Linked DNA regions of Arabidopsis thaliana. The protein of the gene in region 4 purifies or fractionates together with the protein of the main gene of each other region. This does not show direct contact. Each region holds a gene or a part of one and is shown on either strand. Other genes may lie near its edges.

Region 1 (3,006 bases), on a different chromosome or scaffold from region 4:
AGGTGGAAAGAAGCAGCCAGAGGTCCAAGAGTAAAGAGATAGATTGATTGATGGACTTGTGATGAGTGAATAAAACAGGGAGTAGCATTACTCATTCCTCCCTTGTGAGACACTTTGGAATCAAATCTTACGTTGCTGCTACTCTCTTTGAGTCTTTTCTTTTGTTTTTGTTACTTGACACAGTTTTTTTTTGTTTCCGGTTTGTTGACATTTAGTTTCTCAATCTAAACTCCAGAGACTTATTTTCGCTCTCTTTTGATCAGAATTAGGTATATCTTTATTCGGATAATCCTTCCCATCCAAACTGAAATTGTTAGTACCAACATTTTTTTTATCAGAACATATCTCGAGTACTGTGTTGATTGGATTCACATATCTTATGTTTCCAGAATCTGAACAATACAAAGAGGGAAGAGTCTGTTTTACACTACACCAAATCCTTACTCTAGGGAATTCTTCTGTATTCTCTTTAGGTTTAATTCTTAGTAAGCGAGTGAATAAGAGAATTTACTAAAGATCGTTCATAAGTGGACTATTGAAGATGTAACTAAGGCAATAGTTTGAAATATAAATGCCAATCACAAGTGGACTGATGTTTGAGTAAAAAAATCTCTTGAGAATTTCAGCAAAGTCTAAGAAGATAGTCGAATACAACAAACTAAACAACGACATAAAGATTTCGAAAGGGTACAGCAAAACCAAATGCCAAGTATACCGCATTACTCGAACAAACTGAAACCCATGTCCTGCAAATTGACACAAAACACACAACATGTGAGCCATCATTTCATTTGAAGAGATAAAAAACTGTTGTCAGAAAGAAAGTAAAACTTACATCATCGGATTCTTCTTTCTCTTCTTTCTTCTCTTCTTTCTTGGACTCAGCAGCAGGAGCACCACCACCTCCTCCACCTCCAGATGTAGCAGAAGCAACCGCAACACCACCACCACCTCCTGATGGTACTGAAGCTAACTTCTCCCTTCCAGCAGCAATTAGCTCAGCCAAGTCTTTCCCTTTCACTTCCTTCAACAAAAGCTCAATCTGAGAATCCTCTGTCTCAGCACCAACTGCAAAATCAAACATAACAATTGCCACACTCCATCAATTCTTCCTCCACCACAATTACAGCAATCACCTATAACAACACAGTCCAATACCAACACCATAATGCCTCTTATTGCATCACACTGTTCATTTCCAGCAAACATATACAATTCCTAGTTCCAATAACATTTCAAGTTAAACAAATTCTCACTACTAGAATAATCATGTATACATTCCAATGCTCAAATCAAAGTCACGAACCTGATCCAAGAATATCCTTGATATCGCCAGTGGTTGGGGAAGCTTTCCCGCTCAAGACGGCAAGCAAAAACGCAGCAACAACCTTCATTTTCTGAAGAAAAACAAAAACAGATCAAAAATCAAACATAGTACGATTACGTAGGAGAAGAAGGAGAGAGAAATGGAAATGGAGGCGCTTACTGCGGAAGTGTTGATGGATCTCGCAGGAGGCGGAGTGAGATTAGGGTTTTTAGACGGCGATGGAGAAGAAGTACGAAAAAATGAAAACTATATGATTTATATACGCTTAGGGTTTTTAATCTTATCAATGTATCTCCGAATTTAAAATTTTATTTAGGCCCAGTTCTTTCAAGCCCATATTTATATGGGCTCAATATTTCGATTGACGGGTAATATTGATGTTGAGAAGAGAACGACCAGATTATACAATTCTCTAGTTTTATTTTGTTTGATGGATGGGATTTCACCTCTAACCTCGTCTTCTATAGCACCTTCTTGGTCGATGACATCAAAAGTAGCTTCAACTCTACACCTGTTGTTTCCGAAACATCGCCTGCGTATGGCATTTCTCGGTATATGTAGTTGACAAGTGATATGTTTTGCAAGTTACTAATAAATTTGTGGTGTCAAAGTTTTAGCATAGTCTAGTTATTTTCTCATACGAATTATGATGTATTTACATATTGGACGGCATTGAAGGGGGAACAATTCAAGACTAGAATTTTTTTTTTATCCTTTTCTTACAATAATACTATTCTTGAAGTCATACGTAAGCCGAATCTGAATCTAGGTTCCAAATGAACGACAACGTATCATTAGCAAAGTCAAGGCTAGAGGTATCTCATCACCATTCGAGTCAAGATTTAAGACCATGACTAGGACCAATGCTTTTGTTGGCTACTAAAAACTCCAGAGTGACAAAGGCGATTGAGATAGAAGCAGAAATGCTAACAACAAAGTGCAAATGACATTCGGGTCAAAAACTCTTGAGAATTTCAGCAATGTCTAAAAAAGATGATCGAATACAAACTAAACAACAACAACATATAGATTTCAAAAGGTTACAATATTAAAAGAGGACAACAAAACCGGACTTTTCATGCTACTACCAGCTTACTCGAATAGACTGAAACCCATGTCCTGCAAATTAAAAACAAAAACACACACAAGTGAGCCATCATTTTTAGGTTAAATTTCAAGCTACTATTAAGATCAAGACTTTTGTTAGAAGGAAAGTAAACTTACATCATCGGATTCTTCCTTTTCTTCCTTCTTCTCTTCTTTCTTGGACTCAGCAGCAGAAGCACCACCACCTCCTCCACCTCCAGATGTAGCAGAAGCAACCGCAACACCACCTCCGCCACCAGACGGCACTGAAGCTAACTTCTCCCTTCCAGCAGCAATCAACTCAGCCAAATCTTTTCCTTTCACTTCCTTCAACAAAAGCTCAATCTGAGAATCCTCTGTCTCAGCACCAACTGCAACACCAAACAAAAACAACAATGCCACATTCCATCAATCATCCCAAACTCATTATTGTATCCCATTGTTCACTAAATCATTACTCTTAACAATACTTACGCATCTCGACTATCATAAACACCGTTTAAGTCGATAGGAACCATAAAAATCCCTAATATACATATCATTTCAGCTTAAGCAAGTTCTCAACTATCTAATAAAGATTTCAAATCGAATTC
Region 2 (6,510 bases), on a different chromosome or scaffold from region 4:
ATCTTTTTGCAAAAGTAGAAAGCTTTTCGAAGACGTAACACAAACCTTGCAAACTATTGTCCTACATGCATGTGGAAATAAAAATAAAAAGGTAAGTGTCCCCAAAGCAATTACCTTTTTCATGTACTTAAAGAATAATTTGCTCAACATATTGGACCACCAAAAGAGCTAAATATATAATAGATGAACCTCGAATCACGAAATATGAAATATCTATTTGTATTCCCATTTTCCAACTTAATAATGCAAAATGTTATCAAGCAAAGTTCAAATAAAATAATGCAAGGTGTTAGTTGAAATATTTGGATTTTGGAATAATTTCTTTTGGTGGGTTAGGAGCACCTGACTCGTTTCACAATTATTGAGAATCTATTAGCAAAAGTAAAAAGTCCCCAAATTATTTTGCTTATTTCCACTAAGGATATATAACGATTTCATGAACATTTTTCAAATTTAAAAACGAAGCACCCTCAGTATAATAAATCTCATTATGATTTCAAGAACAATTTGCATTAAAATATATAAATGCATGCCGTATTTTAGAAACGAAAAAAAAAAAGGCAGGTCGTGATATTTCATTTCGTTTTTGGGTCAAACATGGCACAATTGGTTAGAATCCTGTATTTTTTGAGTAGCAACAACATAAATAAACTGGACCGAATCTCACAACAAAGAGCTACAAAATTTCCTGAACAAACTCAACAACTTTGCTCACCAAAGATGGCTGCAAAAATGAGCTCTTCTTCTGTATAATAAACCTTACAAAAAACTTTTTGTGTAAGGTCTCATTCCACAACGGCCGTTCTTTTCTCCATTAGGGACTCAAAGAACTCAGCACATAATTTCTGAAGTGGCGGGAAATTTAGTGTGGAGCCGCTGAATATTGTTTCCCACGGTCTTTCTGATGATACAAACGGTGTTCCCAACGACTCAACATCCTCCATTCTCTTCTTGTCATAATCAGGTAACTGCCCGTATAAGGATGTGTACCCGGCGTCTCCTAAAAGGTTGAGACTTTTTCGATTAGTAACATGGTATAATCAACAAAGGTTCTTTCAAATATGTTTTAAGTTTTAACTACCTGTCTCTTCCAGACCAGCAAGACCATCGTAGTCAACAGCGCTACGCTCATGTGACTCATCACTATTGGGATCAAAGACAACATATTCATGGCTTCCATTTACATATGCAAGGCGAAGCTGAGACTTATCTCCTTCTAAAAATGAGATTGATCCTCCCCTAGCCTGCAATTTAGACATTGTTTAACTCGTTGGATTCTTTCCTGTCTCTCCAAGGTTAAATACTAACGGGCTATTTCTTATGTCATACCTTCATCACAGTCCATATAGATACCGGCTTGGGATCTGATCCGTTAAACAAAAGAATGGCACCATCTCTACCACGGAAGATGTTCTCCTTAGATTCATCTGTTTTAAAAGTTTTTGGGATCACAGCCAAGACTGCAAATGCTGACGAATCCACTGCAGAGGTGACAGCTATAGAACGAGAACAAGCATTTTCTAAGTAAACCACAGCAAGAGTTTTCATGGGGAAATCAAAGAAGCATTATAATACTGACCTTCTATGCGTAACCCATATGACCATGATAAAGATAACTTTGATGTATTCCAAACAGATAGTTCAGGTCTTGGAATATGGGATGCAGCAACAAGGAACTCAGACTTTCCAGCGAAACAGAGCTTCGTGATAGGCTGTAATAATATATAGAGAGGTTTAAACATTGGTCTTTATGGAAAAAGGTTCCAGCTTTTTTAGGGATAACTTCATAGGTTTTACCGTGAGTGTCGATCCTAGAACAGACAAGAGAATGTTCTTATCTGGATTCCACAGTGTAATAACATTCTCAGCCGCAACAGCCATAACAGTGCCATCCCCAGAGAAAGCAGCAGCAGTCATTGGTTTCTTCCTGGAAAATATTCAAAGGCAAGAGAATATAAATTTGATCGCCAAGGCGAATAATTTGTGAATGTTGAAATTTCCTAGCGCGTAGAGAAGCTATTACTTATAAGAGCCAACAGCGTGACATATCCAGCTAGAGTCTTTATCCGTCTGGTTCTTGTCACTGTTGCATACCCAAATCTGAAACAGCAAAAGTGATATCAGTAAGACAATAATAACAAACAAAAAACACAGAGAGAAAAATGTAAAATCAGTTTAAGAACTACCTTGAAGTCACCACCGAATGATGTACTCACTGCCATGGAGCGGGTAGGGTGGAACACAATGGCTGAGACACCGGCATCCCTGTAAGATATACAGGAAAATAAAATTTACTCTCTGCAAAGGATATAACAGTTTGTAGACTAAATAAGAGAAATTGAAATCTATGTTTGCAAGGTTTACAAGAAATAAAACATGACAAGAAAATTGGGTAATGGTGAAAAATAAAGCTTTATCCATTAGCAGAGGGTGAAATATTAACCTATGAGGTTCATATACGATTGTGGATAAGGTGAAAGTTTTGCTGTCTGGTTCAGACGCCCAAAACTTGAGGGACACTAAGCCTCCTATTCCATCTTCCGGAAGTTTCACCTCGGTTGTACTCATCACTGAGCCATCCAGGGAGAGAGCAACCGCTGTCACCACAACCTATTACCGTTTACTCAAATTATCACCCAAACGAAAATAATCTTAGATATACTATCAAATAAACAGCAAGGAAATGTACTTACTGTGATCTCATCTCCTGGTTGATGGTTTCTCTCACAAACTTGAATCTGCAAAAGCATTGATTAAAGAAGTTAGAGATTTCATAGACAGGAGAAAGTGGCATAGAGTTTCTTAAGGATATATTGGAGCCAAATTCTAACCTCTGAAATTCCCCGGTCATTGAGAAGATTATATAGCTGTACACAATAATTCTCTGTGCACAAAGCAGCTATGCCAGAAGATCGATCAAAGGCAACAGTACTAGCCAAGCCTTCATACATCCTAGGCAATGATGGGGGAGGCTGTAACAAAATAACACACATTGAAGTAAACACCAAGAAAAAGGTAAAGCGGTTGCGAGAGTTTCTAGAATCCTAGAATCGTTGACAAAACTGACGAGAATGATTACAGGTCCTTAATTATTAAGTTTCCAAGACGAACCTTGATTCCAGAAATGGTCCTTAAGATCTCCATGGAAGGCATTTTAAGCAAATGGATCTGATTATCTGCACAAACCACCTGCAGCTCTCATTCGTAGTCAAATCAGTAAAACATTCCCTTTTGCTTTCAGCAGTTGTGTGTTAGATTAGAATGAAAGAGTAAGCTCCGACTTACAGAAGAAAGAGTTGGATCTGGAGACCACATGAAATACAGCAAGGGGGATCCTATCCTTGGTAAGAATTTCTTTTTCCCTGTGTCTAGCTGCCAAACGACAAGTACCCCTTCCCTTCCCCCTAAAGAGTCAGAAAACAGACGCAATATGGAGTAAGAAGTCAGGACATTACTTTCAAACAGTAAATTTGCTCATGACCTATTAGTCTATGTCGGTTCATAAATCCAATGGATATCAGAATATAACTCGGCCGCACCTGAATACAAATATGCTCCATCGGAAGAGAAATTAAGGACATTAACTTCAGCAGAATGCCAGTGCCATGTAGTGCAAGATTCAGCATCATCTTCACCTCTCACTCCAGCATTGTCCAAATCAACCATGGCTCTCACTTTTTTCTTTTGATTACCCAAGGCAAGTTTTCTATTACCAAATCCTCTCCAAATCAACACTCTTCCAGTTACATCTCCAGCAGCTATAACTCTCTCCGTGGGATGAAAAGCAAAAGCATTGATAACCTTTGTGTGATGTAATGTCATCTTCCTTGAAACCGCATGCCTTGATCCTCCAGAAGGAACATCCCATATATGAATTTTACACTTGTGACGGATTCCGAAAAATTCTCCCGAGGGACTAATAACAATAGATTCTGGTTCTGCCGTCTACACAAAGAAATAAGCAAATAACTTGAGCTTACACAATTCAACTTCAAGACAACATTAAAGACAAACCTCTTTCAAATAAGTCCATTAAAAAAACTAACCTCTTTTAAAGTATCTCCACGAGGAATACGCGACTTAGCGAGGTTAAATCTTCGGATATGTCCACGCAACTCTTTAGACCCTTGGTTAACCACACTTATATCCTCAACGGAAACATAAGCAACCAACTTACCAGACAACTCACGACGTTTATCAATTTGTTGAGGTTCGCTCAAAAGAGATGGTATAACCTAAAACACACAAAACACATAGATTCATTTCATCAAACAAAACACTCACAAAACCTAATCAAAGTATCAAACTTTTTTTATACTCACCATAGAGTAAATCGGAAGCTGAGCATCAATAGTTTTCAATAGCTCAGGTCCAGAGAAATCCCAATGACGAATAGTACCATCAAGAGAAGCAGTCCAACAATAACAAAGGATTTTTTGAGCAGGACTTGATGCAGGAACAACAATTAGAGTTGTTACTGGAGCTGTATGACCTTCAAGCGAAGTAATCTAAAACAGAAATGTATCAATCAATGATTCGAATAGAAACCCTAACAAAATCGAAGAAGAATTAAATTTTTGGTACCTGTAAGCCAGTGGCGGCGCTGAAAACAGAGACAGTGTTTCCTGTGCAGACGAGAAGCTTTTTAGCGTCGTTGGAGAATGATGGAGGTGAAGTTACGTAGCTTCTTCCGCCGCGTTTCATGGTTAATTTCCGGCGATAGAGAGAGGCGGTGAAATTGGGAAGAGAAGAAGAAAAGGGAGACGCACAAAATTGGTTTACTTCAAAAGCCCTAACTTAAACCCTTCTTCGTCTCTTTTGTTTTTTTTTCTGCTCAATTACATTTCAGTTTTTATCTATTTATTTAATCGGAAAATATTAAACAATAATGTTTTTGGGCCTTTGTAATGGGCCTTGTTAGGTTTGATGAAGATAATTATTGAAGTTTTGAGAGGTATCTAGCAAAAGTTTTCATGTATGACAACAATCAAAAGAAAAACACTGAGCAAACTTTTTTGAATTGAGACAATATATAGATTATAACGATACAATTAAAAAGTAAATAATGTGATTAAACTTACAACAAACCAAATGACCAATGACATCTCTCCATTTTGCTTTGGAGATTTCACCATTGTTAGATGAAACTAGAAAGAGCTACTACATAGGTTTTGAAATATACCAAAAGAAATCTCTAAGATTAAATATCATCTGAAGAGAACTTTCCTCAAGACTCAAGCTTTTTTGAACTCTCTCAGAAAAACAGATTTTAGAATTGGCCAAAGGGGAAATGAGTTTATACATGGTTGCTTATACACTCTGTACTTTCCCCGGCATCTCCTTTGCTTTCACGGTCTTCATATCCTGCGTTCGATTCAAAAGATATGTGTTAACTACAAGATTTACTTGAGGAACATAAGCAAATCAATGACTAAAGAGAGTAGTAACTCTAAAACCAATCAATGACATTTTTGACTACCAAATACCAATGAACAATTTTTACAACTGATATTGAGTGAATATCAAGCTTCAAATATGTTGTATCAATTTCATTGGTTGTATATTGTTATGTTCATTAGCCTAGAAGCAAAGAGCAAAAAAACACTTAAACTAGCTTTACTTCTAAGCTTACGCAAAATGTACATGAAACAAAAAGCTGATGAATCAATCGGACTAAAGGAATCGATTATCGATAGAAACTAGTACAAAGAACGATACAGGACCCGCAAGAACAAGAAACTAAACATATAGAGACTCAAAGGAAACATATAGAGACTCAAAAAAAAACTTACTGATTCTTTGCTTTCGTAGTACTCATCCAAAGCCCACTGATACTTAGATTGGTTTAACCCAAACCACCTCACCAAATGATCATCCACACTTGAATGTGCTGTAGTCAAATGGATTAGAACACACACACACAACATGAATGTCAAATTCACAATCTAATTGCTTTTAGGACCAAATCACATAAACAGTATGAAAAGCTAGAATTCATGTAACATTAGTACTTTCCAATCACTTCACAAAGATAGAAACTTTACAACGATTTATATCATTTTTGAGTTCAATTTCCTAATCAATCAATCAAAGGGTATCGGAAAAATCAATCTCAAATTCAAGATCTAAAAATGAGGAAACTTTGAGCTGAAAATCAGTTAATTGTTTATCAGATTTCTCACCATTTTGAACCTTTGTGACGGCGTTTTTAAAGAACCCCAAAACTGAGCCGTCCTGGTCAGAAGAAGCCACCGATTTAAACTGCTGCGGCGGAGGAAGAACCGGTGGTGCCATCACAGGCTTCTGAGACACAGCGGAGGGAGATTCAGGTGGTTTAGGAGTCGCAGGAGGAGTCATAAAGACAGTGTAAGGACCGATTTTTCCGATAACAGGAGGAGGTGTTGATGGGTCTTTGTTGATCGGCATCTTGAAAGTGTTAAATTGAGAGAAAATGAAAGAGAAAGTTTTCAGACAAGAATCTGAGATTAAGAAGAAGAAGAAGAAAGGTTC
Region 3 (5,579 bases), on a different chromosome or scaffold from region 4:
CACTTCCGTCAACTTAACACTTGTTCGTTGTCACCAACATATGAAAAATCGTGGACTGCAAAGTCTGCAATCCGAAATCCAGACTACACTACCAAGTAACTTCCGCAGTAAGAAAACAAAATATGGATACTGGATACAACAAGATTAAGGAATTGAGGAGCTTGTTTGGATATGATTAGAGTGTAAGAATATATTGACCCATTACAAATCTACAATTATGAAAATTACATTTTGATTGTATGGATTAAATAGTTGGCAGTTGTAGCTATCAAAGAGCCCGGGTATTATTCTACAGATTTTTGTCATTATTAAGAAGTTAATGAATCGAACCAGAAACACCTATAATTAAAAGCATAACATGAGATTGTTTTATTCAAGAAAATGAGACCTAGTTTGGCAGAGATAGACTAATGTATCAATACACATAATGGTCAATACACATGTCCTGTTTTCATTCTTTAGATATTTATGACTGCTTATCTATCATTTAATGTAAATTATGAATGTGGATTTTAATGGTATGCATCGCCTGGAGATGATAGCATTTCACATGGTCAATTTCTAATAATGACCCACCTAATACAGCTAGCTATAACTACAAGTGTTCAATTCTTAAAATGCGAAAATCTCCCAAACACAATTAAACGAAGTTGAATTTGATCTTCTGAAACCAACAAGATAAATATCTTTTCCTAAAGTGAAACCAGAGTAATAAAAAGGTTCCTGAGGATAAAAATCCTCAATAAAGAAACACTTAGAGACGATGAGAAGAGTACCAAGTAAACTTGTGAACATAAAAAAAGTGAGACAGATGGAGAGTCAACTCTTATAAGAAATAGATGACCTTTGTCTAAAAATCATCATCGTCTTCCTCAGCCATATGCTTAGCAAGCTCTTCTTCCTGTTGCTTCCTCTCTCTCCTCTTCTCATCGCTTTCTTTCTCCTTGTGAGTGTTAGGAGGAAACCTCAATGCTCTGACAGCTTCGTTATGCATGTTGAGGCAGAAAGCAATTCTTGAGTTGAACGCAGTTTGTGGCTCATTCGTCGAGTAGATGTCCCCAGTTTCTTTGGAGACCATGCATCCGTTTTTGTGATCGATTGTAGCATCAATAGCTCCGTCGCGTATGGCCTTTGCCACGATGCTTTCCGCATCAGCCACAGGGTTTTCAGAGTTGAGCCTCAGCTTTTTGGCAACATCGGGTAAAGAGATTCTTGAGTAGGAGATACTTATGTTCCGCAGTCCAGTCCTGATGACATTGTGGCGGAGTCGCACGATGAGATTGTGCGTTCTGTCTTGAGCAAATGTGTCCAAGAACTTCTCCTGGACTGTCCTAAACAACTCCAAGTCCCCAATCCTAACCGCCTGTAAAATCAAAACAGAGCTTTAATAGTAAGCCTCAGATCAAAATCAGTATCAACTATCCAGTTGCATCATATATCTCTAAAAAGCAACAGTAAACAGCCAGAAATTCATGTTCAATATAATTCGAAGGAGCAGAAAACAACAGCAGCAACAAAATTGTGTTTCAAGTGACCACAGAGAGATTTTAACAGAAGAGGTGTATAGGCCAGTAAGTGAAAAGTAGGAACCGGTTTAAAATCAGAAGTGAAGTAGCAAGATCACAAGTGACCACATACTAATACCAGTTTAGTTATCCGCTCATAAATTAATGAATACATGTCACAGCAGCAAGATTATGAAAGTGGACTCACATTTGTTAGCTCGAAGTAGGGTCTGAGGGCCTTCTCCATACCCTTTTGAGTGAAGATAGAACGCTCTGGTATCTCACCCAGCAGTAGACGAACCAGAATTGCCCATTTATTGCATTGGATCCTGAAGCCCAAAGCTGCTATAGGGGCTTTCCTGGCCGCCTGAAGAAGGCTCTCTTTTGCGTCCGTATATTCGAGCTGAATAGTACGAATCTTCCCGAGATAGAAAAGGTACCTACAAAACTGCAAAGTATAATGTTTTAGACAAGTCATCTTGCTGTTTATTCTTTTGAAACAGTAACAATTGAAGGGTTAAAAAAAGAACAAAATTCATATGTAGCAAAGAAAAACACAAGGTAGATCGATGGTAATGGTAAGAGGTGGTGTCAGAAGTATGAAAAGGACAGGCAAAATGGACACTTCAAGTAAGTTCGGCAAATAATTAGTGATTGAAAAGAAAACACAAGAGCCTCCTAGATGGAAAATGCTATAGCGAATAGAAAAAATAATTCTCTGGAAAGATTGCAGAAGTGGCATTGGAGTTTTCATGCAAATATAGAATCTAGAGAACCGAGAAAACTTAGAGTATGAAGGAATAGCCAAGAGCTACCTGTTGGTTTGAATGAGCCTCAAAGCGAGGTGCCTTTGATCTTAGCTTCTCTGCCTGATCATAGAGGTTGTAATGCAAATAGTTACGTAGCAACAGGTTCAGAAGGGTTTCCTGCATTCAACATGATAAATTTGAATAAGAAGCAAGTAACAGTTTCAAAATAATGAATGCCGACTGAATGAGCTAAACAAAGACATACCTGACCCAGCTCATCGTGTCTTAGCGTTGCAGAATGATGCAACGCAAGAAGAGTACTGCAGGTAGAAAAAATGACCAGATTATTAACTATTGAGCTACTGATTAATATGAGGTGTAAGACAAAGTACAAAACTAAAACAGTCTTTGAGCTACTAACCCGCGAATTTCAGCAAGATCACCGGTTTGCTCATAACTCAAAGAATAGTAAAAGTAGAGTCTTGATGCTATCACATCAATGGTCCTTCGGTTGACGTTCTTGAGACGAGCAATGCTTGCTGAAGAACAAGCTTTAGCCTAAGAGATGATTAAAAGCAACTCATTAAAATTAAAATCACAACAGAAAAGTAACTTATGACAAAACACAAAGATACAGCAGTAGTTACCTCGTTGTACTTCTTCTGATCAATCAGAAAAAGAAGAACAATGAAGTAGCAGTAGATCTCGAGCTCTGCAGGTAGATGCTTAGAAGGAGCAGCTTGTGTGGCCGATGAGGCAGTATCAACTTCCATGTCATGTTCATCACCCTAAACCATTAAAAGTTCCAATATTTCAGTCTCTAAGCCAGTTGTATGTTAGATAACTTGCCATTCACAACATCAAAAGAAAGTATAACAACCATAACACGAATCTAAACAACCTAAAGCCAGATGCTAAAAGGAACAACCAAGTTGAGAATTCTGAAACATCAAAGTGAAGAAGTAAAACCCACAAATACCTTAGGAACAAAGGAAGAGAGGCGAGAGTGAGCTTCGGATCCTGGAACCAAAGCAAAATCCAGGAAGGAAGAGAGCACAGAGCCGGTGAGTTTCTGCCTAAGCCCTATAGTGAGACGCACAGCACGAGCAATACGACGAACCTCCTTCGTGTAAGACCCAGTATCGATGAGTGCTGCAATCTCCTTCAAATCTGGGAAACAAAGAAACAAAGCGTCAAAACCCAGAAGAAACTTAGCAATTATGAAAACAGTTCGAGAATTAAAGCATTCAGATCGAGATTTACTCTGCATAGTAGAGGTAGAAGAAGAGATAATCGATTGAGAAGGGGTGTTGTTATCTTTCATCTCCACGTCCTGAGTCATCTTTGCACAAATCTCGTTACTCTTCACAAAGACAAAAACAAGGTTAGGGTTTTTGCAGAAGTATGCAACTAAGCCGGTGAGATTTCAAGGAACCGATTGAAGTTTCAACCAATTTGTTGACTGAGAAAGACGGAGAGATAAAGACAGAGAGCTTACTAAATCGATAAAACGGAATTCGCCGGGAGAAAGTGACGATGATGGATCAGATTTAAGGACGAGCTGATGCTGCTGAGACTCTTTTCTTTCCTAAGTATTTTCCTTTTTTTGGACACAACAAAAAAAGTATATTTCTTTTTGTTCAAGACAGCTTTTTTCCATATTAGTATTTATATCTTCTACATTACGATTGAGCAACAAATGTCGTTGTAGTATAGTGGTAAGTATTCCCGCCTGTCACGCGGGTGGCCCGGGTTCGATCCCCGGCAACGGCGATTAACTTTTTGGTTACTAGTTTTGTTTGGACCTCTCTCACTTATTTTCGTACGCTTTCTTCGAATAGCCCAAAACACAACCAGCGCAAGTTGGGTTAATTTCTTTTTGTCTCAAAACACGTTGGAACTTGGAATTACAATTTTATTATTCATTATTTTTTCTTGTTATCTTTTTATGTTGTTAGAATATATAATCAACTGATATACGAACCAATGGAAAAAGGCAATGCCAAAGGGGGTTGTTTACTTGTTAGTGTCAATACGCCGACGAATGTAATTGGAGTCAAACAAATATCCAAAACTCAAAAAAGAGACAAAACTAGAAAACTCTTGAAGGAATAAAAACTTGAAAATCCAAGATCCATGATAAAATAAATGAGGATATATATAACCTAAAGCGACATGAACGAAAGATTATTCTACGGCAACAAGTTGCTTTGAAGAACAGAGACAAAAACATGAGAATGTAAGAAAGATCCAACTTCATTCAATGACCCTGGTCGCTCATGCAGCAGCCTGGATAGGTGCTCCATTTGATCTGTTGAATCCACCACGGCCTCCTCCTCTTCCACGACCTCCCCTTCCACGGCCACGTCCTGTTCCAACAATTTTTAAACATTTACAACTCATCATTATTTAATGAGAAAACATTAGTGTAACAAAATCATCAACGTACCACGTCCCTGAGGCGGAGGACCATCATATCCATGGTCTGCTGGAGGAGCAACATTGTTGTATCCATAGTCTCCTCCATCTTGTTGAGCTTCATAGTAAGGTGGTGGGGGGCCATTGTAACCTCCTCTTCCTCGACCACCACGTCCACCTCCTCTCCCACGCCCGCGTCCTCTGCCATATGACCGGTCCTGCTCCATACCTCCATCATTATACTCATTGTTCACATATCCACTTCCTGGCAAATCCGAAAGAAGAAATAGCACAAGCCAATCAAACACTTGTCCGCCGATCACATGCAAATATGTTAAAAGGTAAAACTAAGATTTGGAAAGAAATATTCTAAAGCAATTCTACCTCTGCCGCCTCTTCCCCTTCCTCCATCATCATACTCATTGTTCACATATCCGTTTCCTGGTAAATCAAACAAAAAAAGAAATAGCACAACACATTCAAACCCTTATCCACAAATCATATGCAAAAATCTATACTCAAATACGATTTGGCTAAAGATATCCTACCTCTGCCACCTCTTCCCCTTCCTCCATCATCATACTCAACATTCGCAGGTCCATTTCCTGATAAGTCGAAAAAAGGAATTAGCACAGTCCACTCAAACGCTTATCCACAAATCACATGCAAAAGCTTACAACGAAACTACGACACTGTATAAACAATTTCTAAAGTAATCCTACCTCTACCACCTCTTCCCCTTCCCCTTCCTCTTCCTCCTCTACCTCTTCTTCCTCCTCTGCCTCTAGGAGATCCGTCTACAAGAAAGAGATAATTTAAAAACTTAAAAAAGACAGCAGGGCAGGGAGCTTAAAAACGTCATTAAGAGTGAGACTCTAAAATACCTTGCCCTTCGTAGTCAATCTCA
Region 4 (4,430 bases):
TTATAATGCATATTTTTGGTTGGATTCACCAGCGTGTGATGTTTGTTTTTTCTAATTACTTGCAAGCGATGTGTAAATTAGATTAATTCAATCCATGAGTTTGGAACAATTTGTTTGGCCTTCTATCATTAACTCTTGTTCTACAAAGCCGTTTGTTTTGAAATCTTTATTCAAGAAATTCAAGGACACACGTTTATTCATAAATTTAGATAATATTTCACTAAATAAGTTGAAATTGACCCGACCAAGCAAAATAAATTCGTTACACCAAAACACGCCACCAAAAACCGATGAAGTCTGGTAAGAGAACACTCGTAATTAATTTACTCTGATGGTAGAGACTTGCATGCGTGTCAAATTTTGCGAACAACACACGCTTACATGTATTTAATGATAAGAGAGAGATTCACTATACTCGTCAATATTGGGCTTAAAGCCCATATAAAGTCTTAACGGGCCAGACTAATTTAGTAAAACCATCTCCTACAGTCTAGTCTAACCGAACCGAAATAAGTTGACCAAATCCAAACAAAATCAAATTTGTACCAAACCGATCTGTATTGAACTTGGTTAAATCATTTTCTAGAACCGAATCTCGTCACAACTTAAAAAAAAAAAAACATAAATCCGAGTTCAACATCCTAATCATACATATCACCACGAAACATGATAAATAAGGCAAACAGAGGTGGATCCTCAGATCTGCATAGCATCTTGTTCGTCTTCTGCAGCAGCTTCATCGTTTTTGATTGGTTCACTGAACATATACTGACTCTGATACTCAACAAGATACTGCATCGATCTCCTCACATCCAAGAACAGTCTGTAAACTCTCTGAATATCCTCAACCTCCACGACTTTCCCTTTCCGTTTCTGGCATGACAATGCAGCTGCGGTTATAAGATGAATCGCATACCTTAGAGATGTATCACGTCCGATCAATGTCAAAAGCTGTTTGGCCTCTTCGTTCATCTCAACGTCTTCCTCTTGGCAACGGATTTCTAATATCTTCCTTATGTCATCGTCTGTGTAAGGTTGGGTAGTGATGATGAGAAGACGGTCAAGGAGATCAATCGGGATCCCGTGTGGTGATTTCTGGTTTGTGCCACGGATTGTCGTCACTCCTCGGTTTGTTGCCACCACAAGGATTGGTGACATTTCGTTTTCTAGAGCTCGGTTAAGGAATGAGAAGCATTCGATGTCGAGCATGTGGACTTCATCAATGAAGAGAACTCCGGGAACTATCTCTGCTTTTCCTTCTTCTCTCCATTCAGCTACTTTTGTATCAATTTGTTCCCGGACTTCTGATCGGATTTCTCCAGTATCGCCAGTGAAAAGGGCAAGAAACCCTTGTGTCCTGCAAGCAAACAAAGAAGAAGTACACAAAGTTACTTTTTTTTGTTCTACCAATCATGTTTCAAACATTAAATTCCGCAACCAAAATTGGTTCTAACGATACCACAAACAGATGAGTTAGTTATAGTTATAAAGAGTGCTCTGACTACACACTGCTAAAGAAAATGAGCTTGAGAATTTCAAGAGCATATAAAGCAATGAATTAATCTCAAATTTGAGACATCTCATCTGAAATTAGTGAGCCAAATCAACTAAATTCCCAATCACCTAATCACTAAAACTTCAATTTTGCAACCTACATTGGTATTGCAGATACCAAATCATGATTACCAATGTTTACAATTCAGGGAATGTTAAAAGTACCTGCTGTTGATAACATCAATCTCGTGAAGAGTGACACAATGTACAACCTCTTTCCTCTTCTGCAACTCACCTTCAGGGCACTGCACAAACTTGGTCTGCGCACCCATAGCATCATAATCACGAGACCTCGAAAACGATCTTCCAAGCTTAGTAATCTTCCCAGTAGCTTTATCAATGGCAATAACATCACCACTCTGCACTTTCTCCTTGTTCAAAGCCTCAATCATCTTAGCTCCCATATCATACACAGTTTCCATATCAGTCGTTTTCATAGTCATCTTCCCTGACTTGGAAGCAACACCAGAAGAAGCAGGCCTATCAATCTGAACCTCAACAACTTCTCCTTCAATAACCTCTGTCTCTTCTTTGATCCTAACACCAATCGCTTTACGAAAAGACTGAGTCAAAGCTTCTGTCTTTGACATCTCTAATGAGAAAATTTCACTTCCTGCAATCATCGCAAAAGGAGTTTCCAAGCCAAGAGATTTCGCCATACCCATTGCAATCGCTGTCTTACCCGTTCCGGGTTGACCCGCTATTAGAATAGCCCGACCCGCGATTTTCCCTTCTCTAATCATCTGAAGGATTACACCGGCGGCTTTACGCGCCTTCACTTGACCGACCATACCTTCGGAAACAGCTCGCGGCTCGAGGGCAGAGTCGAGACCTAGTCCTCTGATGTGTGAGTGTGCGCCGATTCGCTCGACTCTGGTTAAGTCCCGACTCTCTGATAGCTTTAGTTCCGCCATATTCGATTATCGTCTTCGTGCGATTGAGGCGGAGGGAGAAGAGCAAAAAGTTAAGGTTTTAGGGTTTAGAGAAAAGCTACACAATGGCAATGACGATGTAAGAGTTAAATCCTCTTAACAAGGGCATAAAAGGAACTCACAAATCTTATAGACGAGAATTATAAATTTAGTAATATACCCTTGAATTATTAAAGATGAAGTAATTAACTCTTAGATAAAGGTCTGTGATAATTTGAACCCTAATTAGGAATTTCAGGGATTGCATTGGATCCATCCTGGATATTCTTAGAACTCTCTTTGGCCAGTTTCTTAGCATTTCTTCTCTTCTTGACTTTTCTCGTCTTATCATTGTCACCGATTAGTCCTACCAAACAAAAAATAAAGAGTCAGACGCGTAATGTAATTAATACACAAAAGAGAACGTTTGAGTAATTTGCACAGGACCAACAATGAGACAACAACTTGATGAGCTAGTAGATTTTGATTAAAGTCAAACCCTTGATCTGAATACGTACATGTGTTATGAAATCTAGTTAGATAAAGTACGAATTTTTCCCAAAAGATTTGAAACTAAGGATATCGTCAAAAAAGTCAAAAGCTGTGTGTACCTTCTTTCTTCTCTTGGGCATTTGGTCGAACAAGTTGTGAGCATATGTTGCTAATGCTCCCATCAACCTCTTCTTCGCCACCGTCAGAATCTTCTTCTTCAACATTGCTCCCACAAGCATCTCCGACACTTCTTTCATCATGGGTCTGAAGCATTTCAGTCGGAAGTAAAGGTCCGATGACTTTCTTCCGTCGAGCTGCTTCCTCTTTGAGCATCTTCTTCCTTAACCTCTTTCTCTGCGCTCGACTCTGTTTCTCTGCAATCCCCAATTCGTCTCCGATTTCTTTGTCTTCTCCGTGATTAGATGAATCGATTTTCAAGTAATCCTCTGAATAATAAACAAATTTGAATGTGACTTCCAAAGTGTAAATAACTTGTTAAGATTACATTAATCGTACCTGGGTTTATGAGTGACACATCGAATGGTTCGTTATCAACAACCTCCACCTGAAACAATGGCGGGAACATTTATCGATTCATAACCCAATCGAGAACTAACAAATTGACACAAATAGAGATTGAGAAAATACCGGAGGCGGAGAATAGGAAGGAGAAGAAGGTGGCGATGAAGGAGGATACAGTGTTTGAAGAAGAGCTTCGTGAAATTCTCGACGCTTTTCTTCTCGCCGTCGCATCGTCGGCACTTGGCAGCGAAATCTCCGTCTAATTCATAAGATGTGTAACTTTTTTTTTTTTTTTTGTTCATTATGTCCCTAAACTTTAGTGGTAACTGTATTACTACTCCCAATTTTTTTGATATAGTATTGCACCCACACAAGTCAAAGAGTTCACGTCAAATGTAACTAAAACTTTTTTTTTCCTTCTTTCTTTAATAAACACATTTTAAAAAAAAACACATTCTTATTCCATGATTGCAGGAAAAGTCGGATTCACGAATAGATCTTGCTAAAACGTCAAAACTTGACGAAGAAGCAATAAATGATAAGATCGAGATCGATTCTAAGGGATCGATATCGACAAGGTTTTGCAAGTCCTCCTTACAGGGCTTGAACACAAGCTCTTAGGGTTAGGAGTCCTTTTTTATAGGCTTTACACAAAACACTCTTTAAAACTCTTTAATCAATAATCAAAACTAATTACAATACTAAATTACGTCTTTTCAAATAAGAGAAAGATAAAAAAAAAAACTAACATAAAAGAGAAGCAAACGAATACAAGTACTAAAAGGCTAAATAAACATGAAGCCCATGAGAAACAAAACCCAAACAACGAGCCAGCCCAAACGGGACGAACAACACGTTCGTCTTTGAGATACGCTGCATCAGCCCTTCTGGGTTAGAAAGATTCGACCCAAATCTGAAATCTTTGAAGACATCCTTTGTCCACCAATTCAT

The links.
Region 1: the proteins of AT5G67630 (region 4) and AT2G27720 fractionate together in Arabidopsis thaliana (co-fractionation; one large-scale study listed by BioGRID). This does not show direct contact.
Region 2: the proteins of AT5G67630 (region 4) and AT2G18900 fractionate together in Arabidopsis thaliana (co-fractionation; one large-scale study listed by BioGRID). This does not show direct contact.
Region 3: the proteins of AT5G67630 (region 4) and EMB2719 fractionate together in Arabidopsis thaliana (co-fractionation; one large-scale study listed by BioGRID). This does not show direct contact.

What each region holds. Positions count from the first base shown.
Region 1 is NC_003071.7:11,817,084-11,820,089, reverse strand, and holds AT2G27720 (60S acidic ribosomal protein family), read right to left. Parts: upstream 1,395-3,006; coding exon 1,307-1,394; intron 1,219-1,306; exon of another isoform or gene 1,173-1,218; coding exon 1,128-1,172; exon of another isoform or gene 1,085-1,127; coding exon of another isoform or gene 1,069-1,084; coding exon 836-1,068; intron 747-835; coding exon 720-746; 3' UTR 512-719; downstream 1-511. Other genes in the region: AT2G27730 (copper ion binding protein), read left to right, coding at 1-34; AT2G27710 (60S acidic ribosomal protein family), read right to left, coding at 2,420-2,446, 2,552-2,784. UniProt on the Arabidopsis thaliana protein: Plays an important role in the elongation step of protein synthesis.
Region 2 is NC_003071.7:8,187,706-8,194,215, forward strand, and holds AT2G18900 (Transducin/WD40 repeat-like superfamily protein), read right to left. Parts: upstream 4,832-6,510; 5' UTR 4,705-4,831; coding exon 4,585-4,704; intron 4,509-4,584; coding exon 4,323-4,508; intron 4,236-4,322; coding exon 4,047-4,235; intron 3,946-4,046; coding exon 3,540-3,945; intron 3,405-3,539; coding exon 3,286-3,404; intron 3,190-3,285; coding exon 3,112-3,189; intron 2,973-3,111; coding exon 2,832-2,972; intron 2,739-2,831; coding exon 2,694-2,738; intron 2,611-2,693; coding exon 2,444-2,610; intron 2,266-2,443; coding exon 2,187-2,265; intron 2,101-2,186; coding exon 2,024-2,100; intron 1,928-2,023; coding exon 1,798-1,927; intron 1,713-1,797; coding exon 1,580-1,712; intron 1,497-1,579; coding exon 1,330-1,496; intron 1,245-1,329; coding exon 1,082-1,244; intron 1,001-1,081; coding exon 786-1,000; 3' UTR 532-785; downstream 1-531. Other genes in the region: AT2G18910 (hydroxyproline-rich glycoprotein family protein), read right to left, coding at 5,311-5,364, 5,793-5,890, 6,183-6,426.
Region 3 is NC_003070.9:7,000,559-7,006,137, forward strand, and holds EMB2719 (PAM domain (PCI/PINT associated module) protein), read right to left. Parts: upstream 3,875-5,579; 5' UTR 3,753-3,874; intron 3,618-3,752; 5' UTR 3,597-3,617; coding exon 3,518-3,596; intron 3,425-3,517; coding exon 3,234-3,424; intron 3,043-3,233; coding exon 2,902-3,042; intron 2,813-2,901; coding exon 2,676-2,812; intron 2,575-2,675; coding exon 2,520-2,574; intron 2,432-2,519; coding exon 2,321-2,431; intron 1,954-2,320; coding exon 1,714-1,953; intron 1,364-1,713; coding exon 851-1,363; 3' UTR 529-850; downstream 1-528. Other genes in the region: AT1G20220 (Alba DNA/RNA-binding protein), read right to left, coding at 4,532-4,623, 4,704-4,937, 5,057-5,113, 5,221-5,277, 5,395-5,469, 5,557-5,579. UniProt on the Arabidopsis thaliana protein: Acts as a regulatory subunit of the 26 proteasome which is involved in the ATP-dependent degradation of ubiquitinated proteins.
Region 4 is NC_003076.8:26,966,839-26,971,268, forward strand, and holds AT5G67630 (P-loop containing nucleoside triphosphate hydrolases superfamily protein), read right to left. Parts: upstream 2,563-4,430; 5' UTR 2,469-2,562; coding exon 1,720-2,468; intron 1,358-1,719; coding exon 697-1,357; 3' UTR 540-696; downstream 1-539. Other genes in the region: AT5G67640 (uncharacterized protein), read right to left, coding at 2,708-2,832, 3,077-3,403, 3,474-3,522, 3,606-3,710.